3 linked regions of the Diceros bicornis minor genome follow. The main gene of each other region encodes a partner of the protein of the gene in region 3 in a complex. Links are inferred from orthologs where the notes say so. Each region holds a gene or a part of one and is shown on either strand. Other genes may lie near its edges.

What was found.
Region 1: the proteins of THOC5 (region 3) and THOC1 are in contact, whole or in part, in a cryo-EM structure (PDB 7APK), measured with the Homo sapiens proteins. The link is inferred for Diceros bicornis minor from reciprocal best matches to the Homo sapiens genes THOC5 and THOC1. Residues at the interface, in NP_001002877.1 of Homo sapiens: Tyr52, Arg113, Lys120, Asp124, His127, Leu128, Gln131, Asn132, Leu134, Tyr135, Glu136, Met138, His139, Thr145, Lys146, Glu149; in NP_005122.2 of Homo sapiens: Glu60, Arg145, Arg146, Leu147, Ser148, Ser150, Gln151, Lys285, Met286, Leu289, Val296, Tyr297, Phe298, Leu302, Ser304, Leu307, Leu310, Gln311, Ser313, Asp314.
Region 2: THOC5 (region 3) and CHTOP share a complex: the UniProt entries of both Homo sapiens proteins name them as parts of the transcription/export (TREX) complex. The link is inferred for Diceros bicornis minor from reciprocal best matches to the Homo sapiens genes THOC5 and CHTOP.

Annotation. Positions count from the first base shown.
Region 1 is NC_080755.1:14,297,849-14,308,558, forward strand, and holds the start of THOC1 (THO complex subunit 1), read right to left. Parts: upstream 4,977-10,710; 5' UTR 4,925-4,976; coding exon 4,871-4,924; intron 4,704-4,870; exon of another isoform or gene 4,556-4,703; intron 2,768-4,555; coding exon 2,694-2,767; intron 2,600-2,693; coding exon 2,539-2,599; intron 1,306-2,538; coding exon 1,239-1,305; intron 1-1,238. UniProt on the Homo sapiens protein: Component of the THO subcomplex of the TREX complex which is thought to couple mRNA transcription, processing and nuclear export, and which specifically associates with spliced mRNA and not with unspliced pre-mRNA.
Region 2 is NC_080743.1:57,860,053-57,870,074, reverse strand, and holds the start of CHTOP (chromatin target of PRMT1 protein), read right to left. Parts: upstream 4,977-10,022; 5' UTR 4,686-4,976; intron 3,442-4,685; 5' UTR 3,425-3,441; coding exon 3,360-3,424; intron 2,022-3,359; coding exon 1,868-2,021; intron 1,262-1,867; coding exon 1,178-1,261; intron 1-1,177. Other genes in the region: S100A1 (protein S100-A1), read right to left, coding at 6,356-6,499, 7,579-7,719. UniProt on the Homo sapiens protein: Plays an important role in the ligand-dependent activation of estrogen receptor target genes. May play a role in the silencing of fetal globin genes.
Region 3 is NC_080774.1:23,158,518-23,168,638, forward strand, and holds the start of THOC5 (THO complex subunit 5 homolog), read right to left. Parts: upstream 4,354-10,121; 5' UTR 4,281-4,353; intron 3,582-4,280; 5' UTR 3,478-3,581; intron 2,629-3,477; 5' UTR 2,593-2,628; coding exon 2,497-2,592; intron 408-2,496; coding exon 264-407; intron 1-263. Other genes in the region: NIPSNAP1 (protein NipSnap homolog 1), read right to left, coding at 6,426-6,490, 7,816-7,899, 9,061-9,155, 9,514-9,545, 9,870-10,010. UniProt on the Homo sapiens protein: Component of the THO subcomplex of the TREX complex which is thought to couple mRNA transcription, processing and nuclear export, and which specifically associates with spliced mRNA and not with unspliced pre-mRNA.

The DNA.
Region 1 (10,710 bases), on a different chromosome or scaffold from region 3:
ACTTCAAGCCTTAAAAACATTATCTGTCTATAAGAGTAACACATCAAGGTAATCCATGAACTAAGCAGATACCGAAAACTGACAAACTGGCCAAAGAACACTCCATTGTGGAACTCATTTAAATATGCTTAATGAATGAATGAATGAATAAGCATCTCATATAAAACACATAAAGTCAGAATTGTCAGAATTTATGAACTATGCTTAAGTTCACAAAATAGCTTGCTGCTACACTGAAAGAACACTTTTAACTTTCAAGTTCCAGTTTTTGTAGGAATAAGTATCAAAATAATAAATATGTGATTAATGCTTTACAGATTAAAGGCACTTTTCACATAAATTATCTGAATTAATCAAATGAGTATTTTAACCAAACTGCTTAAAGAGTACTGATGAACTATTTTTTCATTACTTCTTTCTGCAAATATTTAATGAGCTCCTCCAATATGTTAGGCACCGCGTACTTACTATATACCTTTTTTAAAGTCTCTTGAAACTACTGCCCACTGCCCCTGCCCCATTTTAAGTCTCCTACTTAGTTTTCCTGCCAGCAGTCTCTCCTAATCCAACTTTTCCTCCATAGCTACTCTTTAGCACGGCACACAAAGCCCTTTACAAATGACCCTAACCTACTCCTCCTGCTTCTTTCCTCACCATTCTCATTATTCTCTCACCCCTCTGCTCCATGCAGTTCTTTAGCCATGCTGAACTTGGCCTTTCCATAGCTATTCCCTTCTGTTTCTGCCTGACAAATTCATCATCCCTCACATCTCAGCTCTTGTGTTACAGCTTCCTTTCTAAGACCTTCCTGATTCCTTTAGATTCTGAAGTTTAGAAAGTCATTTCAACCACAGTAATTATACCACAGTAAGACAGTTACACATCTGTTTCCTCCATTAGTCACTAGGTTCCTTACGGGCAAGGAATATGTTGTATTTACCAACGAATCTCCAAATCCTAGCTCAGTACCAGGCACATAGTAGATGCTCAATAAATATTTGCTGAATGAACAAAACAACTGGAGATCAAAGGAAGTGCCAAAATGTGTGCTGCATAATAAAGACGAAAAATAAGTGTGAGCTAATTTCATTGGGACAACTTCTTAGCAAAGGTGGTAGGCAGAATTTGAAGAATGAACAAAGTTAGGTGGGGAGATATGGGGAGAAACAAAATTAGCTAAGTTTTAAATAAAGCATGTCATGTCCAAAATTACTTTAAAAAAAGAAAACCATACTTACCTTCAGTTACTCCCCCAATAGCAAGAGAAATAATAGCTAAAACATTTTCACATGACGAATGATTTATCTACCAACAGAGGAGAAAACAACTTAATTTAGGGGCCAGAGTTCAGACTAATCTGATAACAATAAAAACATACCCTCTGACATTAAATTGATTATTACAAATATGGGATAAAAATGTCTCTTATAGAAGATAAAATTACTTTCTAAGATGAAAATACAAAAATGAATGGTAACAGAGTCACTAACTGTTGAAGTATATCAAGTAAACAATAAGCAGGAGACTCACTTAAAATCCAACAGTCTTAGGAAAATGTTTACGTTAGCATGATTTAGGCTGTAAGCTAATCAACTACAGAAGTGCTAAGGTTCACAACTCAATCAATGGCATGGGCGAAGGCAGGGCCAGGGGAATTAATTGCACTGGGGCATCAGCATGTCTGAGGGAGGGTTTTAATAGAAGGGAGGTAGTGCTTAGGTTCTATAACATCATAAAAACCAGCATTTATTGAGTGTTCATTAAGTGTTGTTTTATACAACAACCCTGAAAGAATGGTATTGCCTGTCTTACAAATGAAATTGAGCTCAGAAAAGCAAAGTAAGTTGCCCAATGGCTCACGACAGGTAGTTATGTCTGAAGAGGAGGAAGAATGACTTTTGATCCAGAATTGTCTGAAAGAAAGGGACACTGTATTATGGCTGTTAGAAAAGGATCTAGCTTCTCGGGACCCAGCCTTTGCTTAACCAAGAATAAACTGCTGAGACTTTTCCTTTCATTTGAGTGCCCCACTAATGGTAAATAAATTCAGACTGCTCATGTTTAGATTAAATTCTCTACTGAAGTTGGATAGGCTGTAGTTTTTTTTGAATGCAAACTAATGAGGAGGATGCCAGAAGAAAATGAGCACATGAATCCCAGCTCCCATGCTGAACATCCTTAGGCTAGGCCTTTCATGCCACTACAGGATGTTGATAGAGCAATGTGAGAGGGCTCACCTTCAACTTCTAGTTCTTGCTAAGTAAGACCTCATGTCAACTTTTCTTATATTCACTGCAGAGGGCTTTCTTCATTTATTAAACCAAACCTTTAAATTGCACCTGTGCTGTTGAATCCCTTAATTATTACATAATTCCTGTACTATTATCAAGTCAGCTTTCACAAAGTAGCAAGCTCACTCTAAAAAAAGTAATGTTTAAATATCCATTCTAAAAATAAAAGCAATTAAAAAACCTGCTTTATTAAAAACTAGTTTATTAATTTGCCAGCAAAATTTTAATAAAGGATAAGCATACTTACAATTTCTTCTTCTAGAACACCTCTGAAAGCTTGGTCAAGGGTACATTTTTTTTCATTTTCACTATTAAAAAACAAAAGACACTTGCATTTTTTAAACAGCTCAAGGTAAGTACAAAGATCCAGGCAAGCATATTTCATGGATGTCAATGCCGTACCTGCCAGGTAACTGGCTGAAGGTATTCAACAATGGCTTGATATTTTTGTTGTTCAGGGCCTCTCTGGTAGACTTCTAGAAAAATAAAAATAGGAAATAAGTGGAAAGATTTTGCTTATTATTTACTGAAAACCATATCACTTATCAATAGTATGTCTAAGTAAAAAATATTTTTACCTGGGAAAAATTACCTACCAATCATTCTATCAGTAATTCTTATTCAAACGCCACTTACTGATACAGACTCTCATCACTTTAAACCTGTCAAGAGCTTCCTAGCTAGACTTTCTTATTACAGGTGTTCCCTCCTACCATCTCTTTAAATATCACATTCATGAGAGTATTCTGCTTTTTTTTTTTTAAAAACCTCTAAATGGCTCTCTATTTACAGGTTTTGGTTTTGAAGTTTCATAGCTCACTCTCAAGGTCCTTGATAATATTATCCCACTCACTTTATCTAATCTTATTTCCCACTACACCCTAACATAATTTCCACTAAGGTCTAGCTGTTTTTTCATCAGTTTCTATCAAGCTCACTCAAGGGTATTCATACATTCATGTTGTTCTTTCCACCTGCTCGTCCAAATTCTATCCATTCTTCAAGACCCATCTCAAGTCCTACCTCCTTTAGGTAGCTTGATCAGCACAGTCCCTGCTGACTGTCTTAAAGTAGTCATAATTGAAAGACAAGAATATTGCAAAGTCATTCATTCTGTGAAAATTCACATACACCTGCAAAGTCATCTTATTGCCTCATAGGAGTTAGATTTATACTGTAAATAGGCTGTGTAATCTCGGGCCTATCGTTTTATCTCTTTGTGCTTCATTTTCCTCTCCAGTTAACTAAGAGGGATGTTGTAGATCCTTACAACAGCAGTGGCATCACCTCCGAACTTGTTAGAGATACAGAATCTCGGGCCCCATTCTAGACTTACTGAACCAGAATCTACATTTAACAATTTATCTCTAGGTGATCCCACTACACACGGAAACTTGAGAAACAATGGACTAGATGATCTCCAATTAAATGGTCCCTTCCAGGACTAATGTGATCTTGGAGATTCCTCAAGTTACTCTTAGCAGAACTTCAGAGCACCAGGGATTACAGCAAAATGCACAGAAGGAAAACGATTCTGATAACATAAACAACATATAATTTGGTAAAAAACAAACACCACACTGTATGAAAAAAATAATACCTGAACACAAGAAAACTACTGACTACAAAGAATCAATTTTCTTTCACAGAATTTTCATTCGGGCATGACTACAACTACATGAGCATAGTTAAGCATAATCAGTAGTTTCATGACTTGAAATATTGGCACAAATGCTAAAGACAAATACAGTCAAACAATTTTGAACAGAGTTCTTCATGTTTGGGGCTATCATGGGCAATATAAAAAGAATACTGGGTCTGAAGTCAGAAAAATCAGTGAAGTAAATCATTTAACTTTGGGGGGGGCAGTGTCTTAGTTTTTCTCTCATATACAACGGATAATAAAACTTACCTACTTCACACTCCTATTGTAAGAGTTAAATAAGCCAACATGAAAACGCTCTGTAAAGTGTTTCCCAAAGCTCCAACTGCTTTTCCCCAAAGCGTAAGAATAAAATAACATCTGGCAACCTTTCCCAAGCTGATCTGTTTGCCTCTTCCCACTTAGGATCTCCTCATCGATCTCTTAGGAGCGAGATACTGAGAGTTACAAGTGCAGGGAACAGACAGACGGAAAAACCACCTGGCAGCTTAGGAGGCAGGGCAGGAGCCGGTTCTCTGGGCTGAAACCACGCCCGCCTCTCCGCACACCCCCCCGCCCCGCGTAGCTCCCCGTCCAGTTCCGGAGACACCTGCCCCGCTAAGCGAGCACTGACGAGGAGCTGGCCCGCACCGGAGGTAGTCTGCGGATGAGCCCTCCACGCAGGGCTCCAAGACGCCCAGACATCAGGGTCCCGGGGCCCGCTGGCGGGAGAGCGGAGGCGGACAGCAAAGGACTGGCGAAAGACGCAGGTAAAGCGTCTTTCCCACCTCCAGCCCCTGACGGGGCCGGGAGCCCACGCCGCAGCGTACACGCCTCGGTCCTCACTGTATCCCAGGGCAAAATTTGAGTAATTTCAGAGAGAGGAGGGCAAAGAGTAGCCCTGGGTTAGGCCTGCCCCCTCCTGCCTTCCGCTCACCGTAAACCGCGTCCGCGCTTCGGGCAAACTGAAGAGCTGCGGCGTCGGAGACATCTTCCCGGCTGCGCTGGCCCGCCACCGCGCTGTGGCGCCCGCTGATGACGTCAAGCCGAGAGCAACGAGATTGCCGGCTCGGTGCACGGCTAGAGCGGCGTGTGAGCCAAGGGGGGGGCCAGCTGCCAGTCCGGAGACTCTGTGGGGACCGCCCACTCAGGTGGGCGTTGGAAGCCTGAGTCAGCCGCGCAGAGCCTAGTCCGGGTTTGTGGCGTACCCTTGGGGTGACGGCATTTGGGCTGCCTCGTCCTGTAAGCTCTGCGCTGCCGGGCGGGCCCTAAGCCGGGACGCGCACCGGCGGTGGTTTTCCCGGTTTGGGGAAGCCGGGAGGGTGGCGGCTAGTTACGGCTCAGTGCGCCGCGCGGGAAGGTAACCGCTGCCCGAGAATCCAAGGCAGGCGGGTTATCTGGGCAAGTGTTGGCGGTGGCCGGGGACCGCCGGGCCTCAGTCATTCTCCCCGAAGGAGTGGTCTCAGCTCCGGATTTACGTATCAGCCCTGTAGTTCAAGTGCTCTGTGGCTCAGGAGCAGTTCCCTCTTCTGTGACATAGAAATAATGCCTGTATCACAGGGCTGTTGAGAAGCGCGAATGAAACCATGAAGGCAAGTGTGGCTTGTAAAGCAATATAACTTATTGTTAATATCTTGGACTCAGTTAACTTTGGTGGCACGTGGAGGTCTCTACTGAACGATCAAGACCGGGGAGGAATGCCATACTCGGCTCTGATTGGAAAGTGGGTGGGCGCCGCGTCCAGGTAGAGGCACCCGTTTCAAAACGCTGTCTCCTCAGCAGTTTCCTCCTTTGTCTCCTCTCACTGGAGAGGCTTGGTTATGAGAAGCCAACTGTCAGTAACTTTCTCAGTTGGCATTGTGCTGTGGGGAAAGAAGCACTGACCCAAATACGAGGAACTTCCTGCCAGCTCTTATTCCCTTCCACGTGTACCTAAATGAAGAAAGCTAGGTGCGCTTTACATTGTTCCCCTCGTTGACATCCAACGAGAATACGGGAAGCTAACAAAAAGATACTTTTGCCTAGTTTTGCCCCTAAGTGGGGATTGATAACAGTGATGGCTACCTACAGCACGGCACTCTTTTTTAGAATCAGCAGAATCATTCAGGTTTGATTGTATGACTTAAATTTCCAAAGAGGCAAAATAAACTGATATTAGCTGATTTAATAGGTAGCTAGTGTAATAGGATTATTATTATGTTACAGATGATTATTAGCTACCTGGAGCACAATTAAGACCTGGGAGGTATATAAGATTATTTTTTACCAAAACCCAAACATAAGAAGAGCTGGAGTTGATTGACTCGTCCATCAAAGCCCAGTGACTTAGAATTTTTGTTTATTCAGCAAACATTTGTTGGCCATTTTATACACAGTGGACAGTGTTTGTTGAATGAATAATAAATATATGAACAAATGATTGAACAAAATAATATAGTTTAATTCCTGTTTTGAGGAGCTCTGGTTGGCATAAAAGAAACAACTACAGTATACAATTTCTATCGTGAGTAATTTAGGTAATAACTGCTGTAGGAGATCAAAGGAGAGAGATCACTACTGTATGAGGTAGTCAAGGAGCCTTTATGGAGAAGATAGAATATGAGCTGGACTTTGAATTCCAATAGGCATAGGTAAGAGTGGGAAGAGGTAAATAGGAAAGACATTCCAAATGGGGAGAATGGTATGAGCCGAGGTATGGAAGGGAGGAAACATAGTGAAAGACAGCTGTTTATTTTGACTTTAACCTTGGGTTCTGAACAGAAATAGTGCTGAAAAGTCAAGTTGGAACAAGATTGTATTAATGTTTGAGGCCAAAGAATGTTGTGGGTTAAAAATGGCTTTTATGGTTCCTACTAAGTTACAGCAGCAGTATATTTTGGGGGGAGGAGAAAGTGAGCTGTTTTGCTGCTACCAAGTGAAGCAATACCAGATAAAGAAATAGTAGGAAAAAAGCAGCAATCATCAGGTGATAATGGGGAGTTATTGTTTAATAGGTACAGATTTCAGCTTGGGATGATGAAAAAATTCTGGAGATGGATAGTGGTGATTGTTGCACAACAATGTGAATGTACTTAATGCCACAGAACTGTACACTTAAAATGATTAAAATGCCAAATTTTATGTATATTTTACCACAATAAAAAATAAAACCTATTTTTAAAAAGCAGCAATCTGATGCTAGATAGATTAAAAAGAGCTAAGACATCATAGACATCAGTATGATTTGAGACCTCAAGATAAGATTATATTTAGATTTTATTTATTTTTATTTTTTCCCCCCAAAGCCACAGTAGATAGTTGTATGTCATAGCTGCACATCCTTCCAGTTGCTGTATGTGGGACGCGGCCTCAGCATGGCCGGAGAAGCGGTGCGTCGGTGCGCGCCCAGGATGCGAACCCGGGCCGCCAGCAGCGGACAGCGCGCACCCAACCGCTAAGCCATGGGGCTGGCCCTAAGATTATATTTAATAAAGCAAAGAAGTAGTAATGCATTTTAAAAAGATGTCATTCAAAAATCATTGCAGGGGCCAGTCCGGTAGCACAGGCGGTTAAGTGCACGCGCTCCACTGCGGCGGTTGGATCCTGCGAGCGCACCCACGCACTGCTTGGCAAGCCATGCTGTGGCGGCGTCCCATATAAAGTGGAGGAAGATGGGCACGGATGTTAGCCCAGGGCCAGTCTTCCTCACCAAAAAAAAGAGGAGGATTGGCAGATGTTAGCACAGGGGCTGATCTCCTCACAAACAAACAAACAAACAAAAAACAAAAATCACTGCAGTAAAAAATATTTTAGCATTTAGATCACGTTAAAAAATCTTTATAATTCCCAGTGTACTTAACATGTAGTATCTCATTTGATCCTCTAAATGATATTTTGAGGTGGGTAATACAGCTATTATGCCCATTTTACACACAAGGAAGCAAACTCAAAGAGGTATGGTTCTTGATAGAGGTAATTGGCAAAATGAGACCACTCAGGGGTTTTGATTCCAAATTTCGTGCTCTTTACACCATGTTATACTGTTGTAAGTAATTGTCAAGTTTTATTGAGTACATTCTATGAGCCAGACACTTTTCTTGTATTATTTCTACGCCTTACAACAGCATTGTACATAGTTATCTATCAGTGAGGAAACAGGCTCATCTGTCTTAGGTCACATGGCTAGAGAAAGCTAGTTTGGGATTTGAGCCTACCTTTAATCCTTAACTCTTGAATCTTTACCAACAGACATTCCTATCTTAATGTCTCATACATTATTTCCTTACAGTTGGATAAGGGTAAGGATCATATTGTCATCAATAACAACGAATTATAAGTTTTCAAAAGTTTGTAATAATAAAGTTCAAAGGGCAGACATCCAATAACATGTAACCTCTTTGCTTACGTTTATTACGCACTGGTTTTTCCTCTTATGCTAGTGAGGTAAGATGGACCAGGAACTGCCTCTCTGTTAGGAGATACCCTCCATTGGAAATTCCAGGGTGGGTGGTTTAGTTCAGTGCCAAGCATTCACATCTTCATTCCTCTTCTTTTCCTTGCTGTGCTCTTACTTGGATTCAGGTTACCACTGGAGTGGTGAGATCTAGGAGAAAAGGACCAAGGAGGCAGCCTCATCTGCTTTTGTTCTAGTCCTTATCCTCTAGCCCAGGCAAAAGGAAACTTTTTGCTCCATTCTCATCAGTCAACCACATTAGGATGTTGAATTGCAGCTTTTGCTGGTTCAAGTTCTGGGCCCTAACCATCTTTACCCTTTTCTCTCTCTGTAATTTGAGTGGATTGAAATAATGATATTGACAGGGAACTGATGTTTGAGCAAAAAGCAAAATTGAGCAAGAAAAATGAGACTCCTTCATTGGGAGAGGAATGGAACTGAGAAGAATAAAAATGGAAGAAGGATAGCACTTTGTGTATATTTTGGGACTTACAGTTTTGTGGAAAAAGAGAAATTACATGAAAACTGTGTGGGTGTTGTCTTTTTTATAGGGTGGTGGCAATTTTCAAGCATTTTATATTAATATTGTACTATTTATTCAACACATATTGAGTGCCTACCATCTGCCAGCCATAGGTAGAATATTTTTGGATTATATACGCAGTATTATTATTTTATTAAATTGTAAGTACTGTACATCATTATTTAGTGTACATTGAAAAAGCCTGTTTGGTGAGCTTGGTTGGACCACAATACGTGAACATAATTCAAGGTGAGAGAGAGAATAGTGAGTGACTTCTTGCCACGGTAAGCCCAGCTTCCCTGCAGGGTTAGGCAGAGATTTTGCCTGAAATTGCGCATTGCTTGGCTTGTTCCCCTTTCCTGTCCTGTTTCCCTCTCCCTTACTAGTTTCTCCTGAGAGCACCTTAGTAAATTATTTGCTCATGAATTCTCACCTCAGGGTTTGCTTCTGGAGGTCCTAATTGTGTTAGTTTGGGTCTACCAAGAAGCAGACACCAACACAGGATTAGATGTGCAAGAGGTTTATTATGGAGTCAGTAGGAGCAGGCAGGGAAAGAGAGCTTGCAGACCACAATGCAGGGCTGACACCTGTGGAAGGAGAGAGGGAAGGAAGGAAGATTAGGTAGGAAGTTTCTGAGTGAAGTGCAGATCCAAGAAAGGTTTGACTTTGCCAATGGCGAGTCCTTAGGCCAAACTTCTTCTTAGAGGAGTCCCGTGGTTTGCCAGAATGGACCTGCACTAGTACCTCTGCCATGTTCAGTCATTGACTAGAAAGCAGCCCTCAGAAAGCCTGGCCTTGGTGCAAATGTGGTTGATCCAGAGGTTAACAGCTAAAGCTGTCAGTCAATTATACTCCCCACAGCAAAAGATCTGAGCGGAGCATTATATGACCACCACACTGTCCTAACATATTGATATAATAATATTTTATTCATTTTCAGATAATATTTTCTTCAGTTGTTTATTCTCAACAAATATATATGAGCCTGGCACTGTGAACAAAACAGAAGAGTTACTAACCTCATGGAACTTTTAATCTGTGCGAGAGCAGATTTTTAATAAAGTAAATAAAAACATAAAAGAATTTCACTATGTGATAAATGCTATGAAGGAAATAATAGCATCTGTTGAGTGCTGTTGTGTGCTTTAGTTCTAATTGCTTTACATGGATGAACTCATTTAATCTTCCCAGGAACCTTATGAGGTAGGTCTCTCTATTAGTCCCAGTTTACAGGTGAAGAACCTGAGGTGAACACTGCTTAAGTAACTTAGTCCCAAGGTCACTCAAAATCAAAGGAATGAGAGACTGAGATAGAGAATGCTTGGGCAGTATTTAAATAGAGTTATCAGGAAAGCCCTCTCTGAGGAAATTATATTGAAGCTAAAACTTAAAGTGTGGAAAGGAATTAGTTGTATATTTGTGAGGGTGGGATTTGGCAGGGGAAGGCAAGAAAGAACATTCCAGGTAGACAGAACAGTGTGTGCAGTGGCTTGTGTTAGGAAGAAGGTTAGCATATTTGAGAACTGAAAGAAGGCCATAGTGAGGAAGATGGAGAGCAGTGGAAAATGAGGTTGGAGAAATGGACAGGGCCAGATTGTTTAGGACCTTGCACTTCTCTGGAGTTTCGTTTTCTTCTACTGCATGCTACAGCCTCTGGAATCTCACTGAACATGTAAAGTTTGTTTTAAAAGTTCTTTTTTTTTTTTTTTTGCATAAACTGTTTCAGAGGAGAGTCGTTTGCTTTCATTAGTCACCTTGCTTCCACTCTGGAGCATCTGATTTCCTTCATATGACTGGTGATTTTTCATTATGTATTCATGTT
Region 2 (10,022 bases), on a different chromosome or scaffold from region 3:
CCATAGAAAGCCAGCCAAACTTGCATTAGAATTAAGACAGGTGAGCTATAATCACAAAACTCAGGGCTACATAGCTGACGACAAGGACATACCAGAGATGGAGATTTTCAATAATCTGTCCCTCAAACAGAAACTATGAAGACCACGTCAGAGAATTAAATTCTTTCAAAGGAAAAGGTGGCTGTGTAGCCTTAAACACAACCAAGGTCCTAGCAAACCTGTTTTCCTATAATGCCATCAGTCAAAATGAATGGAAATAAATTCTACACGTCCTCAGGCTTCACCCACAAGTGACTACCAATGATTTTTTTTTGCAACTATATGCTGAGTTATTATTAGCTTTCTAGCACAAGATATAAACAGCTTCTAACCAGAGGGGCAGGCTCTGAACATTACGCACTTAGCATGGGTAGGTGTAACCAACCATAAGAGCCTGTCACATCACTCCCTTGATAACACACAATTATGAGGTGAGGACTTCATTCCACAAGTCTCTTGTGTTCAGTCATCTAGAGTATATTCTCCTAAGATCTGTGCTTTAAGGGGAGAATGTACAGCGCTTACAAGTTCTTCTCCCTTCTCAATCCTTAGTTGCCACCGATACTGATCTCTAACATTGACAGGAAGCCTGAGGATGTCAACCATACCATCCAGTTTCCACTCTAGAGCTGTGCTGTATGCTAAGGTAGCCCCACTAGCCATGTGTGGCTATTTAAATTACAAATAAAATTAAAAGAAAAATTCAGCTCCTCAATTGTACTAGTCACATTCTGAGTGCTCAATAGTCACATGCAGCTAGTGACTACTGTATTGGAGAGCAGATACAGAACATTTCGATCACAACAGAAAGTCCTATCGGGACAGTGCTGCTCTAGAGGCTGCTTTCTGCACAGCCTCTATTTAAAGTTTCTTGTTGAAAGGTCCTGTGGAGTGATCTGTCAAGGGACTTATCTTCAGCAATTTTTTAATATTTATTCTTGGAAAATGGTGGTGCCTTTTACTGCTTTCCTGAGTCAGGGATGAATGCAGTCACTCCAAGGCTTAAGGTAGCTGAAGCAGAAGGCCTTGTTTATTTTTGGTCAGTGAGCCCAATGGTTCAGGGTGGGGGTGGGAGGGTGTTATATTTAACTGCTGAATTTATGCACAGCCATGCAGTGCTACCAGTTAAAGTCCTTACAGTTGCATGGCACCGCCCTCCAGACGTCCAGCCACAGCTTGGACATATCCTTCCACAGCCACTGTCCGGACTTGCATATAAAGTCTATGAATAATAAAGAGTAGGTTTTATTTCAGGTCTGAATAGGATTATCTCTTACCGGAAATATGAAAGAGAACCCACTAACTTAAACTAATTACTCAGTGCCCTCGCTCTACTTTACTGACAAAACTTTAGGTGCAGTAGGATTCAAGTCATCTTATTCTTTCTATATTTTAGCACTGAAAACCTTTCACTAAGGCCATTCAGACTCCCTGAACTAAGGGAGAAAGGATAAAATTATTTCCCTAATTTGTAAACCATTTAACAGAGAATAGAAGATTTTTTGAAGATCATGTAAAACAGAAAGCAAAATTACTTTGTGTGAAAAGCCAGTGAATCTACTTTAAGGGCAAAGGACCAGAAAACAAGAGAGAGTGATATTCGCTGATAACACAGAAACAGGCAAACTCCCTAAAAGAGAAAGACAACAAAAAGTTATTTTTTGGTACCTGCCAAAATGGGAATTCTCTGAACTTCTCTTTCCTCCAGAGAAGTTTCAGCTTTTGCCCTGAGCCACCTCGTAATCATCCATCACGTCCTGACAGCCTCAGTGGACTGCCTGACAGAGATCACCGGCTGCTTCTGGAGCGTTAAGATCCATTCTCTCACCTGCTTAAGTTTTAATGCTGCCTGGACAGAGGGTCTATTCTCCATCTGCTGGGCCAGTCTTCTGTTTCTGGCACTGGCTAGCTGCTGTTGTTGCTGCATCGAAGCCCGAATATTCACTGGCATCGGCTGTTTGTTCTTCAGCATATTAGTAAAGCTTCAAGGTCGAACAAAATGGATGTTTAAATAAAAGCTTTATTACAAAACATTTATTGGCATTTTCATGGCCTGCTAGACCAGGAGCTCCAGATCCCACGAACTTTTAAGTAAAGTGGTACACTTAGATCAAGGCTGATGTGGGTTAAAGACTCCTCTGCTTCCACAAACTTGCAAGAATCAGAAACTTAGAAATGCAGCTAAGTGCAGCACATTCAATCAAAAGTGATAACAAGGGCTCAGGTAACGGCTTTTAGAGAGATGGAAGGCATGAAAAACACGCAATAAGCAGATAAGATGACAACAAGAGACAGAAGATGTAGTTTCAAAGACAAAGAAAGAAAGCCAAAACCTTGGGGGACCTGAGGGAGTATTTTAAGGGCAAATATAAGGAAGGACTAGAGCACCTTCAAAGCCCACGGAAATAACACACTCATATATATTATGGGAGTGTATCACATTTTCTTATATATTTGTTCACTTAGTAACATGTGAACAGAGAATTAGTATATCATACCCTAAGAGTTAAGAAGCACATATGCCTCAGAAAAGGCAAAAATAAACACTGGGGAAATCTTTCAGGGGTCTAACATCAACTTAATAAAATCACTGGTCAAAGGTACTGAATGAACAAAGCTCCTGGAGATAGAAACTGCTGTTAAATACCTTAACTTTTCTTAGCCTCAAATGATTACTTTTTCTGACTCCAAATGATTACTTCTGAAAAAGTGTGATTCGTTCAATCATTTAAGAGCTTGTGAAGACATTCTTCTATTATTCCTGTCAAGGTAAGTTTAATGGAATGGAAGAGAAGAACACTTAATTGTGAAAGAATCCAAAACAAAAACAAACTTAAAGCAGAATGGAAAGAAAGTGAAATGGAGCAAAGCAAGTGCCTCTTACAAGGCCCAAGAATGACATTCCAGGGCCTTTGGACATATTCATAGCTTGCTACCTGCCTCTTACAGGCCAGACACAACACTGCTGGCCTTGGACTGGGCAGCAAGCCTACTGCAGCCAGGGTACCATGCTACCGAGCTGCACCACCCCTGTATCAACGTAAAAAAATGTGAAGAAAAGGGAGGGTGTGAGAAGTCTTTTTAAAATACATCCCACCAGATAAATATCTCAGACAGCTTAACATAAAAATCTACTGATGAGGGGTTTTGAAACAACCGCCCAATCTGTTTTGTGTACCACATAAGATGCAACTAAGAACAGAGGTCTGTAGCCTTCTGTTGGTATTTAGTTTAAAACCGGTTTTTGTGCAGTGGACCCCAAGGCCAATTTAAGTAATGTTTTCTTATGAACGAGCTGAAGTTGCCGTTGGCTGCCTCACCGCTCATTTAGAGACATCTTGGTGGTGCTTTTTAGCACAACTTTCGGCGCTGACTGTGCAGCCATCTTCAAATCCCGAGAATCTACAAAAGGACAATGGGCACAAAGAGCAAATCAGAATAACAACCACCTCATTTCTGCTAGGGCCAAAGGCCCACACTCACAATGAATGAAAAGGCTTGTATCAATGACTACTGAAGATCACACTCGAACTCATTTTGGGTGCTTAAATTTATAAGACAGTTACCGCAAACTAACAAACTTCAAGGCCACAGGACAGAAAATATGTGCCAAAGCCTCCAAAATGGCAGCCTTAGACCTAGCTAAAGGAAGTATAAGAGTTTGGCTTTTAATCTAGAGCAGTGCTTCTCAACCCTGCCTGCAAGGAGCTTTAAAAAAAAGATACAGGGCCACCCGTGGCTTAGCGGTTAAGTGCGTGCGCTCCACTACCAGCAGCCCGGGGTTCGGATCCCCACGCACCGCTTTTCCGGCCACGCTGAGGCCATGTCCCACACATACAGCAACTAGAAGGATGTGCAACTATGACATACAACTATGCACTGAGGCTTTGGGGAAAATAAAAGGAGAAGGATTGGCAATAGATGTTAGCTCAGAGCCGGTCTTCCTCAGCAAAAAGAGGAGGATTAGCACAGATGTTAGCTCAGCTCAGGGCTGATCTTCCACACACACACACACACACACACAAAATACAGAAGCCTGGCCTCAAACCAATTAAACCACAGTCTCTGGTGGTGAGGTCTGCGGATCAGCAACTGGAAAGAAAAAAAAAAAGCGGAATTCCTAGGCGCTTCTCACGTGCAGCCAAATTGAGAACCACTCGTCTAGAAAGATGATACAGGCATAACTAGTTTCAACCTGGCTTTCGACTCCCAAGTAGGGCCTTAGCAAGGGACTAGGGACCCGGGGGAGGGAGTAGGAAAGGTTTCCTAAAGGGGCATTCACCTGGGAGTTAGCTCCCAGAGCGCGCTCTATAAAATGTAACCCTACCGCCCCCATTACTTCCCAACCTTCCCTGAATCCTGTTGTCCTCATTTCATCTCCCTGCCATCTCAAAGCCCTGTCAACACGGCCAAGTTTGCTCCATCTTCCTTCCCAGCCCTATCAAACGCCAACCTTTTCCCTCAGCCCCGCCACCAGTCTCCAGCGCGGGCGCTCCCCCGCCTCCGCGCAGGGGCTCCGCCCCCTCCCCGGGCCCCCGCACTCCGACACCCTATCTGCTTCCACATGCCGTCGCCTTCCGTGCCGCGTCCGCCGGCCCCTTCCGCTCCCCAAGACTTCTCCCCTCCTTCTCACCACAAACACGTACCGAAGGAAACAGACGCCAGTGCTCCTCCCGGGGCTGCCACCACGGCTGCGGCGGGCGGGCCGGGGGCCGGCCGAACCTGAGCAGACGGTGGAGGGGCTCGGCTTCACTTGTGGGCGGTTGGTCAGGTGTGTAAGCGGTAGACTGCTAAGTTAGTTCGTTGTTGCTGGCTGGCTGTCTGGTCGGCCGGTCCGTCTGCTCGCCCGGCCTGCCCTTGCCTGCCTTTCGTCGGTGCCACCACAGCCGCTGCCGCCAACTCCCGCTCGTTGTCCAAAACAAAATGGCCGCCACGCCCAGTGCGGAGTGGGACCGGCTAAAATGGCGCCGACGCAATTACGTCAGGCGTCCGGTCCGCACACGACTAGGGAGCGGGAAGATTTGTGCTACGCCTGCGCAGAGATGGGGGCGGAGCCCTAGTGAGAAGGCGGGGCTTTAGCAAAGGCCCTGTCTGAGGTACACCCCGTGCCCCGCCCACAAAGGGGCGTGGCCAATGGCCTGCCCTTGGGTCTTGCGAAGGGTTCGCTTTCGAGGCAGGGTTGTTCGAGATCTGGGCGGCTCAGAGCGGATTTGGTCCTGATGAAAAAGGTTTACGTGTTTCTTCACTCTCTTTCCGGTTCCCCAAGCCAAGGCAGACCGTCTAAAATTCTTTACGCGGGGCTTTCCTCGGTCTCTTCCTTACCACCGGGCCGAGTAATGAGCGCTGGCTCTCCTCTCGTCATCATTCGCCCTGTTCAGAGTTGTGGAGTGTCATAAACGGCCCAGCCACAGCCTGGGGCCGGTGCTGGGAGCACACGTCTACTGGAGCCTGTGCCAGTCACCACACGCCCTCCGTATTTTCCTCTTCACTTCCCTCCCCAAGTTGGCCTGAATATTGTTAAATCCTTATTTGGGGGGGACCTTTGTGTGCCTGCATCCCCTTGCATGTCCTCCCTCCCCATCTGCCATCCATGCTGAATTTTGATGCAGACCTATACAGGATTTTTCTTATGCCTGGGTGCACAATAAAATGCTCAAATGTTTGAAGAATGAGTAAATCAGCACATCTTCGACCCTTCCTCCCCCCCATACAGGCACTTCAGGATCCTTTCATTTTCTTTCCTAGCATTTTCCTGTGTGTGTTTAATGGTCTAGCATCCTTCCACCTTACTTTACCTAGGTGAGGGTAATGGTCGCGTTTTGTTCACTGCTGTATCCCCAGTTCCTACACAATGTCTAGTACATGGTAGGTCCTCAGGAACTATTCTTTCAAGGTTAAAGGGAAATTCTTTCTTTTTCTGTCTTATAGCTGAGAAGCTGACATCTCCTGTACTTCCAGCTGGAACTTTGAACCCCTACCTTCCTGGGCCATGAGCATTCCTCAAGTAGGAAGGTGTAATGGTCCCTTGATCTCTCTCCAAATAAGACCCCCCCCCCCCAATAAGGCAAGCTGGGATTGAGCAGCCTTCACTTCCCCACTCACTTGCAGACCCCATAGGAGACAGACAGCAGCTGGTGAGAGAGGAGCCTTTAATGAAACATGAGTTGCAGGCCTGGCCCACTACTCTTGCGCCCTTGTTGGAGGAGGGGCAAGGGTGGGAGTGTGGGGAGGGGAAAGTGGGGTGAGGGGGAAGCAGGGCAAAGGGGCAGGTATGGCAGGGTGGAGGGGAAGGGCGCTGCCCACTGGGGCTGTCTGCTCAACTGTTCTCCCAGAAGAAGTTGTTACAGGCCACTGTGAGGGCAGCCACCAGCACCACATACTCCTGGAAGTCCACCTCCCCATCTCCATTCTCGTCTAGCTCCTTCATCACCTTGTCCACGGCATCCGTATCCTTCTGGGCCTGTGGAGGGAAGAGATGGAGAGGTAGGTGTATAGGGAGATGAATAGCACTGAGTCAGGGGCAAGGGAGGTGGCTGATTGGGGAGAAGGAGGCAGAGATGAACAAGAGGGACTAATTATGGGACTCTTCTGCTCCCCTCCTCAAAACTAACAAAACACATGTGGCCTCCTGTTGCCTACAGAATAAGCTCCTTAACAAGGCAGAGTAACAATAACAACGTCAAGTACCGTATGTTGAGTGCCTACAATGCCACAAGCACTACACTAGGAGCTTTACAAGCATTGTCTAATTTAATTCTAACACAAATAGTATGAAGTAGGTTTCATTATTCCCATTCTAGAGAAGAAACAAATTGACAGTTGGTGGTTAAATGATGTGCCCAAAGTCACACAGCTAGAAAGTGGCAGGGCCAGAATTTGAACCCACGTCTAATAAAACCTCAAAGCTGGTACACTTTCTATTGGCTTCTCCTTTACTATATATAGCATGCTGCATATTCTTCTTTCTCCTATGCTTTTGTTCATGCAGTTACTTCCTCCTAAAATACCTACATTTACCTTAATAACCTTGCGATGGAAATCCATAGCTCAAGTGCCACCTCTTTGGAGAAGCTGTCCTACTTTAGTCAGGTTAATATTCTCCCATAAGCCTTTCTGGCACTTCTGTTCAGGCTTTGCGTACTTCCTGAGTGGCTGGCCCAAGGCTTCAGAGGGAGGAAGGTCTCACTGCCTCTGAGCTTCCTGTCAGCAGACTGGGGGCCTCTTTTGGTCCTTCAACTCTGTTCTTTCCTGAATATGTCACTTCCTGGTGTTCATGGTTTACTTCCAAGTGTCAGTCTTTCCCTTCTAGACTGTGAGCCTTGTTATCGATGCATCTACATAGAGTCTAGCACTTTTAACAGGTGACCAATAAATCGGCATTTTGACTTAGGGGAGCCTGGAAAAACCCAGGAGAGAAGCCTGGGAGAGGAAGGAGATGGTTGGTCTGAGCTGGGGTGGGGTGGGGAGATGGCAGAGAGGTGCCCACTCTGTTCCCCCACCCCTTGCCCATTCCACCCCATACCCCCACTCTGTGCTCACGTCCAGGAAGCCAGAGAGCTCGGTCTGCAGCAGCTCTTTCAGCTCCTTCTTGCTCAGCTTGTACTTGTCCCCCTCCTTGCCCGAGTGGGCGTGGAACACATTGATGAGAGTCTCCATCGCCGTCTCCAGCTCAGAGCCCATTGCGCAGCTCACCTACCCACCCCCACCATGGAAGTGAGCTGAGGACCAAGCTCAGGGTATCTGTGGTCCAGTAGAGGGGAGCCCTTAGCCATGGCCCTGGTCCCATAGCTCGAATAGCCATGAGATCAGAGCTCCACTGAAATTTATCCTTCACTGAGATTTTACGATGTGGGAGAACCCAACAGACCTAAATCCAGACCTGTATTCTGTGTCCCTCAATCCATACCCCAGCAAGAGGGAGTCAGGGTTTGGGGCATGGAGGTAGAGCAGCTGGAGATGGGCTGGCTCTGGAGGCCTGCAGAGGAGTCTGCAGTGGCTCTTGGCTGCCTGGGCAGACACTGAGGAGGGTGGGGCAGGCAGGCGGGGGTGGTCACAGGACCTGGCCAGGCTTCCTCTGGCTCTGTTATTATGCTGGACCTTGCCTGCCTAGCACAGCCAAGCTCTGCTGTTGGCAGTGATGGCTGGGCTCCCCTTTATAGCCTTGTCTCTTTTGCCCATCCCTAGCAAGGAGTCAGTCTGGTGCCCTCGGTCAGCCTGATGGAGAGGGTGGCAGCCTGAGTGTCTGGCCCCAGGTTTCATGAGGACGGGGGTGGGGCGGGTCTCACTGCCTCTGAACTTCGTGTCAGCAGACTGGGGGCCTCTTTTGGTCCTTCAAGTCTGTTCTCTCCTGAACATGTTACGTTGGCTTCCCTGGGGTTCACCTCTACTACTTCTAGTTTTGTTCCTTTTACTTCTCTGCAGAATCAGCCCTTCCATCGGGTGGTGGTGGGAAGGGAGAGAGGAATGTCTGAGCCTTTTCCCTGGAGTCAGGGCTCCCAGGAAGGGGGAGAGGAATCCTGTGGGACTTGTCCCTGCTGCTGGCCACTCCCACCCCCAGCCTGACCTAATTGATGTGGGGACAGTGGCAGCAGGGAGAATGGGCTAAAATGTATTGAGGGAGATAAAGGGCTGAGTGCACGGGTCCTCTGAGTTCAAGGGGCTGCGAGAGAAGAGAAAAATGGAAGGGTCTGTTGAGGAGGAGGGACTGCCAAGCAGGGGCCTCTTTGCCTTGGCCTTGGGACAATCAGCCCCTCCATGGTCTCAGGGGGCAGCTCAGGTGTCTCAGATCAGGTGTCCCCATCCTTCCCCAGGCCTGATGGGCTGGACAATGGGCCCTGATCAGATGACATCCCAGCTCTTCAATGGGGCCCTTGTGAGTGTCACCTGAACTCCGGATATGAGAAGCAGTTGTCACAGAGACATGGGGGAGATGGAACCCAAGCTGGGCTGATGGCGGGGATAAGGGGGGTATGTGAAGGAGGGGTGCTGGTGGCTAAGTTATCGGCCCCATCCAGGATGGGCACCTCAAGGTTGCCTGGAGCCCTTGAGCAGCCTGGGATTTTGTGTAGGGGCCATTCTGAAAGGACTTGGGCAGGGAGGGGACAGATGGGAAAGCAAAGAGGAAAGAATTGAGGGGAAGAAGAATCTGGAGGTCTGGGCCAAGGAAGAGGAGGAGGAGAAAGGGGACTCACGTGAAGGGAGGGTTGGGGTTGGGTACAGTATCCTAGTGCCCCCTCTTCCTGATATCACACGGTCCATGCTCTGCCCTCCCCCCCCAGACTTCCCTGGAACCTGAGCTCTTGGCAAGGCTGGGTGGGGGTGGCAGAGAGACCGAGGCTGAAGCAGGGGTGGGCAGAAGCAGCTGTTCCATCTGCTTTCTTATTCTTACCCCACTGGAAGTGAGGCGAGGGCTGGGTCCCCTGCCAGCCTCAGGGAGATTGAGGGAACCTTGGGAGGACACTTGAGGGCTCTGTGGTAGAAGGGCCTGGTCTCCTGGAAGCTTGGTGGCTGGGTTCCCCAATGGCTTCCTTATTCACTGAGCTCCCAGATCTCCCTCTGACCTTCACTTGCCTGCCTTCATCACCCTCCAAACCCTGTCTCCCTCAAATCCCAAACCGCAGTCACCAGCATACTTTCCAGTCCCTCAGTGCACCACGATGCCATTGTCCCCAGACTCTTGGAGCCCCGCTGAAGTCCCCTTTCCCCCAAGCTGGCCAGGGCAGGATGGGGCAGAATACTCACTGTCAGCCTGGGCCTGAGGTGGGAGCAGGTTCTGGACAGACAGCTGAAGCTGCAAATGTGGCTCCCGGAGCTGTGTGGGGAGACCTGTCTTCAGCCTGCCTTCCCCCACTGACCCCCCCTCCCCACCGGCTCCACCCCTTCACAGACGGACACCCAGTGGGGCAAGGGGCCAGGAGAGGACAGAGGCGCCCTCTGTCTCCTGGGCTGGAACAGGCTGCCCTGTGTCCTCTTCTTTAGCCTCT
Region 3 (10,121 bases):
AGCACTTAGTAACAGGTGGATGAATTATCAAATTACAGTTATGGAAAAACCAATTATCCTGTACTTTCATTACTATAATTTGTGATTGAGTGGTGGTGAGACCTTCCAATAAATTAATAGGCAGGTCTCTGGAGCCCCTAGGCTCCAACCATCTGATCCCAGCTAAGACAGGAGACTAAAATCAGGAAGAGCTCTGGTAGGTGCAAAACAGCTCCATCCATGCAGAGCCACCAGCTTCATGTCTGCCCAGCCCCACTGCTTACCACGTCCTTGCCTCCCCTGCTCTTCAGGTCCTGGATCTCGGCCATAAGCCTCTGCAGCTCCTGGCAGGTGTACTTGTACAGCTCGTAGTCTCTGCCAGGGTCCCGCAGGTCCACCTCAGCCTCCTCACTGTAGTATTTACCTTCCTGTGGAGGCAAGGATAGAGGCCTTGGGTAAGGGGTAAAAGTCTCCCTGTTCAGACCAGGGACACTAGCTGAAATTGGTAACAATGAAGCCTCAGATCAGGTCTCTAAAGGATCATGGTCCTCAAATCAAATGTTTTTCTTCTTTTCAAAATGGGAAAGAATTGGTCTTTTCCTCTTTCTGTTTATAAAGTAATGCATACTTGGTGTCAGAGGAACATAGTGAGGAGCATCAAAAACAAAATGAAAAATTGCCTGTAATCTCACTTCTTCCCAGCTTGAAATAACGCCATTGTTAATACTATGGATAAATACAAATTTTATTTTTAAACAAAATGGGATCATACTGTCCATGCTATTTAGTATAATTTCCCATCCCAATAAATACAGATCTCCATCAAAATGGCTGCATGCGGGCTGGTCCCCTGGTGTAGAGGTTAAGTGCGCGCGCTCCGCTGCTGGCAGCCCGGGGTTCGGATCCCAGGCGTGCACCGACGCACTGCTTGTCAGGCCATGTCGTGGCGGCGTCCCATATAAAGTGGAGGAAGATGGGCACAGATGTTAGCCCCGAGCCAGTCTTCCTCAGCAAAGAGAGGAGGATTGGCACGGATGTTAGCTCAGGGCTGATCTTCCTCACAAAAATAAACAAATAAATAAAATTTTTTTAAAAAAATGGCTGCATGACAGTCTACTACAGAGATGAACCAGAACTGATTTAACCAAATTCATACTGATGGGTGTTTAAATGGTCAAGTCAAGATTTAGCAGAGACTAAAATATCATAATTGACCTCCCAGCCTTTGGAGTAAACAGAACACATCTCTTTGAGAGAGAGTGAGCTATAGTTAATGATACCGTATTGCATACTTGAAAGTCACTAAGAAAGTGGATCTTAAAAATTCTCATCACAAGCCAGCCCTGATGGTCTAGTGGTTCAAGTTCAGTGCTCTCACCACTTTGGCAGCCCAGGTTCATTTCCTGCTTTTGGAACCACACCACCTGTCTGTCAGTTGCCATGCTGTGGCAGCGGCTCACATAGAAGAACAAGAGGGACTTACAACTAGGATATACAACCATGCACTGGGGATTTGGGGAGAAAAAAAAATTTCATCACAAGAAAAAAAAATTCTTTTTGTAACTATGTATGGTGATGGATGGTAATTGTGGTGATCATTTCACAATATATACAAACATCAAATCATTGTGTTGCACACCTGATACTAATATAACGTTATACATCAATTATACCTCAATTAAAAAAAAGAGAAAGAGAGTCAGAATCAATGCCCCAAAAGGATAAGGTTCTTCATTAATCTTGATTTCCTAAATCTGGCGAAAGCATCACTTTCTATCTAAATTTAAGATGGTATGTTTCTCTATTCCAGTTTAAAAAACAAAAAACAGGGGCTGGCCCTGTGGCCTAGTGGTTAAGTTTGGCGCGCTCCACTTCGGCAGCCTGGGTTTGGTTCCCCAGCACGGACTTACACCACTCATCAGTGGCCATGCTGTGGTGGTGACCCACATACAAAATAGAGGAAGACTGGCACAGATGTTAGCTTAGGGTGAATGTTCCTCAGCAAAAAAAACAAAAAAAACAAAAAATATAACCAATCAAATAATCAAAAGTTAAGTCATAAATTAGCTTGACAGATTCAAGGACAGAGAAACAGCAAAAGGAGAAGAACCTGCTGACCACGTGAGCTCTCAGGCCACAAAAGAGGTTCTGCAGGCATGTGGTTCTGACAGTGTCTCTGCAGCAGACCAGGGATGCCACATCTCCAAAGCTCCAGCAGCATGCAGCAGATGGACTGCCGTCTTCTGACCATCAGGAAAACTGGAGACACACCATACTAAAATGCATTCTCTGTTCATGCACTAATCATACGGGCTTGTTGGTTCTTGGGATGCCCAAGCTAAACCTGATGTGGATACTCAAGTTGTGCAGAGCCAAGAGAATTCCAGGCTTGACTTGGTCAAGCAGAGGCCATGTGGGAGATTGTTCCTATGACCCTCAGGTGCTGCAAACCCACAGCCAGGTGTTTAGCCACGAGCTGCAATTTCTCAGCAGCATGGCGGCCCTGGCTGATCTCACCTGCTCAGTGTCAGAACGATTACGCTTCCCTTCAGCTGGAGCTCCATCACTTCGGATCACTTTGGGTTTCCGTTTTTTGCTTGATTCTGAAGACATGGTTGTTTGATGAGGTCAGGAGGAAACAGTAGAGACCTGTTAAGAGAAGAATGTTTTTGAGATTTTCCAGAGTTGGAACCGATTTTCCTGGAGTCAGAGTACTTAAGTTTAACTAGCAGTTCTGGCTACTTACACGCTTGGTAACTCAAGAAAAGTCACTCAACCCTCCAAAGCCTCAGTTTAATCCTCTGTAAAAAGGGGAATCATCCCTCGGCCTGTCCAAAACGAATTCATCTTCTTCACCTCCATCTCCTTTAAAGGTACCACCCCCACTCCACTGGCCAAACTCCTCAGCCTGGCATATAAGCCCATTCCCAATACTCCGGATTGATAACTGTGTGCTAGACCTTGATCTAAGCACTTTATGAGTATGTTCTCATTTGATCCTTATAACAAACCTTTCAGATAAGAGCAAGTCCATTTTACAGACGACAACACAGAGGCTGAGAAAGGTGAATGAATTGCCCACGGTCTCATAATTAATATGCTAAAGCTTGGGTCCATCTGATGCCACACCAGTGCTCTTGACAGCTACATTATTGTGCCTCCTAGTCTTGCCACCACCTCATCTGGTGATGCCATCAACTCCCTGGTTAACCCTAAACTTTAAAAGAACGAAACCTACATTTCACGGGGCTCTACGGTCACAAGGCATTCTCCCTCTGCTACCTCTCCTGGTTGTCACCACAGCCCCTGGTGGGCAGTACTATCCCCCTTACCCCTAACACCTCCTGAGAGAGCCAACAGCTCACCGTAGTAGAGTCAGAGGAGCCCTGAGTTGGAGTCTCCACTCTACTATTTTGTGACTACAAGTCCTGGGACAAGTCACTTCACTTTCCTCTGGGTCTGTTTCCTCACAGATCAAATGAGAACAGCAGTCCCTACCTCAGGGGTTGTTGTGGACAGAAACACAGGCAGCACTCCACTGGGGAAGGTGATGAAGATGATCTGGCCTCAGATGGCACATGGGTGATCTTAATGTTGAACACCTAAGGAGAAAGGTAATCCCTTTTCAATTCTTGTTAGAAACTTCTGATTGCTTCAAGAAGAACATTTCATTTTCCTAGTCTTTAACATCTATGAACTCCAACCTTCCTTTGTTAACAAAAGGACCGTCTCAGAGCCTTAGACAATGAAACCTAGCTAGAATCATTAACAAAGATCTGTTTTCATATTAAATACATTAATTTTTATCATTATTTTCTGCATATGACAAGAAGTCTTCCATTTATGGTAGAGACAAAATTTTTTTTAACGTACATTTAAATTTAAAAAGTGACTGGATTAAAAACCTTTAGTAAACAGTCATACACGGTAATTTTGCAAAACCCACAAAGGTGGCACCGGAAAGGCGTTTAAGTGTGGGAAATCCCGACTCTGACAACACAGTAAAGAGTGCCTGGCACATATAAGCGCACAATAAGTGTGAGCTATCACCACCACCGCCACCACCGTCATCATCTCGAGGCTACAATGTGGGGCCTGACGATGCTGCAGCTGACATTTTCTACAAGAGGAGACAGGGCGCGGCGCCGAGGGGGCGGGGACCCGCGGGAGTGAGAACTTAGAACCCGGGCCGAACTCCAGCCCGGGGACGCCCTCCGAACTGTCCGCACCTCAGTCCCCAAGCGACCAGCCCCGCCTCCCGGCCTCGCCGCCCGTCCCCGCCAACCACGTCCCCTCCTCACCGACCGGCGCCCCGCACCCGCCCGGGAAACCGAGCCACTTCCGGCGAAGAGGAAGACTGCAGCCCGCGCACCATAGAGAAGCGGAAGGAAGGAGCGGCCGGCCGGAAGCGAGGCGTGGAGGCGGAAGTGAAGCGGGAAGGCCCCAGACGGCAGCAGTTGCTGGGTGCAGGCAGCGGCTGGGCGGGGTGGGAGCAAGGTAGGCGGTGTCACGTGGGTTGTCAGGGTGGGAAACTGAGGCTGCGAGGTCAAAGACTCTTATGTGCGTCATTCACTCTTTCCCCAGCGCCTAAAGCAATGCCCAGCAACTAGTAGATGCTCTGCCAAGTAGTTGTTGAATGAATTTGTGTTATGCCCAAAATAACACAAGAGCATGGTAGTGCCGAAATTTGAACTCCTGTGGGTTTGCCTCCATAACATGGATTTTTTTCCCCCCAGAGGAAGAGTCGCCCTGAGCTAACACCTGTTGCCAATCTTCCTCTCTTTTTTCAACTGACAGATGAGTGGTGTGGTTCCATGCCCAGGAACCAGCCCTGGCCGCCAAGGTGGAACATATGGAACTTCAACCATTAGGCCATCGGGGCTGGCATACAACTGGGATTCTTAACCACTGTCATATTCACCCTAACATCCCACACTAGTGAGGGCAGCAAGTTGGGGAGGGCATTAATCCCATCTTACACTTGGTTTTCCCACAGAAGTATCAATAATTTCCCCTATTTTAGGCCCGATTTGCCAAGGGCAGTCACAACTCTAATGCAGCATTTGACACCCTCAAGTGTTTTCTACCCCTGGGATGAACTGTACAGACAGGTGTCAGGACTTTTGGTGTAAATCCTACTTATCTAGAGGGAGAAACACTGATGTCCTGAATCTGTGGTTAAACAGGGCAGTTCCCTCTGCCATGGGAGGAGGCTGAAGCCTCCCTAAGAGTAGCTCAGGGAACACAATACCCTCCAGGGGGGTAGATCAGCCAGGAACAGGGAAGCTGGCCACCTCTGCTCAGCTCTGCTCCAGGCAACTGCCAAAGTTCCTTGCAGATGAAGAAAAGACACTGTGGTTTATAGTAAATATTTAATTGGTTCCATCAGCAACTCCAACACAAGTTTTTCCAACAAGGAGGCAGAAATCAAGCTACCCAGAGGTTCATGAGGTGTAGGGGTCACTGAGGAGGCCCCCAAAGTCACTGACCCCACTCCACACACCCAGTGGCCCAGCAGAATGAGGAGAATGTGAAGAGGGGAAAAAGGAATGCAGAGTGCAGGAAATACAAGCCCTGGCTTGTACCTTGCCTGCAGGAGGGAAGACAGGAGGGCAGAAGACTCTCCCTGCACTGAAGGGCTAGAACTACACATTCAAGTTCTCAACCTCATTATGTAGGGAGAACAGACGAGCCTCTCTCCAACTGTCCTGTATTGGGAACCTCTCCCCAAGTAGTCTTCTGTCACCTCTGTTCTATCTTCCCAACTCTGTATTCCACATTCTGCAGTTCAAACCCAAGTTCTGAATTGTAAGTTCTACCTTCTGGGTTCCCATTCCATTCTGTTTCCTGCCCCCAAGTCCTTCCTGGTTCCCATCCTTTTTCCCAGCCTTTCTGGGTGGAATTGGACCTCCTGCTGACTTTGCTAACTTGAGAGTTTTCCCCTTTGCTTCTTGAAGCTGTTCCAGGCTTTTTCCCATCAGGAAGGACTTGGCTCAAAGTGGGTGCCCCAGTGGAGACCAGGGAATTCCTGAATGCTTGGCCTGGTCTGACCTCCTCCCTTCCCACTCCACCTCTAACCACTGGACACACAACCTTTTGTGCAACTTAAAGCTAAGATGAGGACTTCCTGGTGATAATTAGGGACTGGTGGCCTTGAGGAATCTTAGGGGGAAATGTCAGGAGACATAAAAGTTGGCTGTTCTTCATTCAGAGAAATTAAAAACTGCTTCCAGCACTGGGGAAGGGGGGGCGGGGAAGGTGGCAATGGTCTTGGCAGAGCTGCAGGTCCTCAGAACCCTGTCATCCAGCTCCCCCTTGTATGAGCTGAGCACTACCCCCACAAGTCCTCTCAGATCCAAGAGAAAACCAAGACAGCAGGACTGGGAGCTCTTCTGTCCATGGCTTCCCTCAGGGAGAAGGGGAAGGAGGTGGAGGCAGCCACAACATCACTGGAGAGGTGAGATCTTCAAAGGGATCATGATCCGAGACTCCATGTGTCGCACTAGGGGGACTGCGGAGAGAGAGGCAGAGGTCACGGAGAGGGCTGAGGCGAGCCAACCCCCAAAACTGGCCTTTGAAGAGGGAGGATGCCGGGGATGCTGACAGAGGAAGAGCCCCACTGCCCTCCTGGAAGGGCCCATGGAGTGCGCCAGGTTTCCCAAATTGTGGGATAAGAGGGGACTTAGGTGGTGATGAGATGAACATTGTTTTTATTTTCAGAATTATATATTTATTTTCCTGTGTATGTGAAAAAACAACTAGCATAGTAAAAAGTGATTTCACAGATGTTATTGCTTAGGACAAGGCTAGGTGAAGAATAAAGTACAGGGATTTAAAGAAAAGTATCAAGAAAATAATTGTAGCAGTAGTGATGACCTCAATTAGCTGAGGTTTGAAAAACACTGCCTCATTTTACAGATGGGGAGGCTGCCGCCCAGAGGGGGTCAGCTCAAGGTCACCCAGGAGGTCAGACTCTCTCCTCCTGCTCAGAGCTGTTCAAACTTGACCGTGCATACATATTACTTTCAATTGTTGGTCAAGTGCAGATTCTGTCTGATTCAGCAGGTGGGGGGAAGGGATTAAGATGTGGCATTTCTAACAAGCTTCCAAGGTATGCTGAGACTGTCATTCAGGACCACACTTTGAAGAGCGAGGCTCCGGTTAACTCCTTCAGGAGTCGCATTCTCCCCCACACCAGCTGCTAAGTGTGGAAGCTTAACTGTCAGCTCCTCGAGGGCAGGGACAGGTTCCTGTTCACTCTGAGCCCACGCTCCGGCCACCGCCCACCACAGTCCCTGGCACACAGTGAGGGCTCAATCAACACCTACTGACTCCAGGTGGTTCTCAGGGATCCCAGCAAAGTGGGAAACACTATGAGCAAAAAACTTGCTCAAAAAAATCTGCTGTGTGCTTCCTCTGTGCCAGAGTCTGGGAGAAGCACTTTTCATAAATTAGCTTCTGGAATCCTCCCTCTAGCCCTCTGAAGGAGGCACTATCACCATTGCCATCTCACTGATGAGGAAACAGCCTCAGTGAGGTGAAGAATGATGCCTGAGGTTACAGTGTGCACTCAGCTACTCCACTTCTCTGAGGCAGGGTCTGCCTGGCTATGTTATCATCCCCTAGAGCACTCAGCCATAAGACTCATGTGGAATGTGCCACCAGGATGGAAACTCACTAATTAATTGTCTTAAAAGTGAGTTCCCCATCACTAGAGGTAATCAAGTGAAGCTAGATCTCCTTGCAGAGGGGATTCCATCCTCAGATAGGGCTCCTAGCAGATGACCTCCAAGGGCCTGGCTGACCACGCCCCCTCCGCCCCAAGGAGGCACTCACCTGTGTAGTAGACATTTTCGTCCCAGCCCCTCTTCCTCCAGGCAGCGTTTCGAGTCTCCTCTCGAGACTGCAGGTCTTTATAGGCTGTGAGAAAGGCACTGGATCATTCCCTGGGCACAGAGGATTTCATCCTGTGCTCAGCACAGAGCCCTCCTCCCACTGCCCCAAACCCTGCCCTGCTGTCTCTTCCCCGCTGATGCCTCAGACTGTTAGCAAACACTGTCTGCTTTGACAATCTCATCCAATCAGTACATTTGTTGACAACTCCCAAATTCATATTTCCAGCCCAGAACTCTCCCTCGGGCTCCAGATTCGTATATCCAGTGCCCACCTGACATCCACACTTGGATGTGTCAGCGTCTCAAATGTAACACTTCCGAGGACCAAAATTACACTCCTGACCCCTCTAATGTACTCCTGTAGGGTCTCAGTAAGTGACACATAGCTGCTCAAGCAGGAGTCTAGGAGTTCTGGAGTCTTCTTCTCCCTCCCTCGCCCCACAGACAACTCACTCCTAAGTCCCATTGGTTCTACCTCCAGACTAACGAATCAGTGGACTTCTCACCATCCTCACTGCCACCATCTTAGGCCATGCCACCATCCTCTCCTGCCTGAACTAGTATAACCATCTCCTGATGCCCCACTTCCTCTCTCGCTCTACAAAGCGCTCTCGGCAAAGCACATGGCAGCCAGAAGAATCACATTAGAACAGAAATCAGGTCATTGCATGCTGCTTAAAATGCTGCAGCAGCTTCCCATTGCCTTTAGAATAAATCCCAACTCATCCCCACTGCCTGCAAGGCCCAGCCTGATCTGGCTTGTCCCCGTCTCCTCACACTCTTCCCCACACTCATATCGGCCTCCTTTGCACACCTCAAAATGCCAAAGGCCTTTCCCCACCACAGGGCCTTTGCACATGTTGTTCCCTCTACTCAGAATACCCTTCCCTAGCAATTCACAGCTGGCTCCTTCTCATCCTTTAGCTGAGCTTACATTTCACCTCCTCAAAGAGGCCTTCTTTGTCTATCCAAGCCAATGCAGGTTCCCATGTTTTTCTTCATCATTTCTCCATCTTTATTATTTTTAATAATCTGAAATTATCTTTTTGTTAGTTTTTGTCTGAGGTGGTGTCTCCCTCTGCTAGAGTGTAAACTCCACAAGGACACTAATGTATTTGCATTGTCTATGCAGAGTGACAACGGAGAAAGGGGACTAGCATGGGCTCCTGGGTGGTGCCCAGCCTACCCCAGAGATGGTGCACGACGTAGAGCTCTCCTATCTGTGAGAAGAAGCCGCCCACTGCCTCCTGGTTCTCCTGCCGGTACTTGATGGCCCGAGCCCTGGGGATGACAGAAGAGTATGGGGCAGAGGCCAGGCCTGGTGCAAAGGGCCCTCTGAGGTGTCCTCAGGCTGACTTCTCGGCCACACCTCAAGGGAGGAGCCTGAGGTATGGCCCCTGGCTCTCAGAGATGATCAGGGGATGGGTGACAGAGGTGCAGCTGCTGGCTGGGTGTTCTACCAGGGGAGGCCTCACAATCCTCTAGAAGATCCTCACCTCCTGGCTGGATTCTTCTCTGCATCCATGAGGGGCAGAGGATGCCGGGTTCCTTGCCATACGTCCCTGGGAAAGGTGGCCCACCAGGGGCCTTGGCAGGGCAGGTGGGCAGGGTCCCCCCAACCCCCGATACTGCCACTCACCAGTTGTTCCCCCACTCGATCATGGTTCCTGGCTGAAAGAGAATTAGAGGAGAGGATGGGAATGAGCCCCCACCTCTGATTTCAAGCCTCACGCTGGGCAGAGATGGGAAACTGCCATGCCTCCCCAGCTTCAGGGGCCACCTGGCCTCATTCAGGGGCCCTGACTCACACCTGGGTGCGCTTGTGTGCACATGTGCGTACACACCTCTGTTCTGAGCCTAGAGGGAGGGAGGGGCAAGAAGCCCCAGTCTAGGTGCTAGGGCACAGGGCCTGCCCACCTCAAGGTACCTGTTAAACAGCACTGCAACAGGGAAGGTGGGAGGCAGGTAGGGATCTGGAGGGAGGGAGGGCAGCACCTTGAGCTTGTATGTCCTCAGCTCATAGATGTTGGGGCCTGTTCTGGGCTGTGGCTCATTCCAGAAGCTGAACTCAAGGAGCAACTGGTTTCTCCTGGACAGCAGCATCTGGCTCCGCTCCTTTCGGAACTCCAGGTACTCCTGCAGGTATGACAGTCGGGGCATGGCAGCCAGGAAGCGCCCCCCACCCCAGCAGTGTGCCCCATGGGGTGGTGGAGGCAGCCCCCAGCACAAGGCTGAGCCGGAACCATT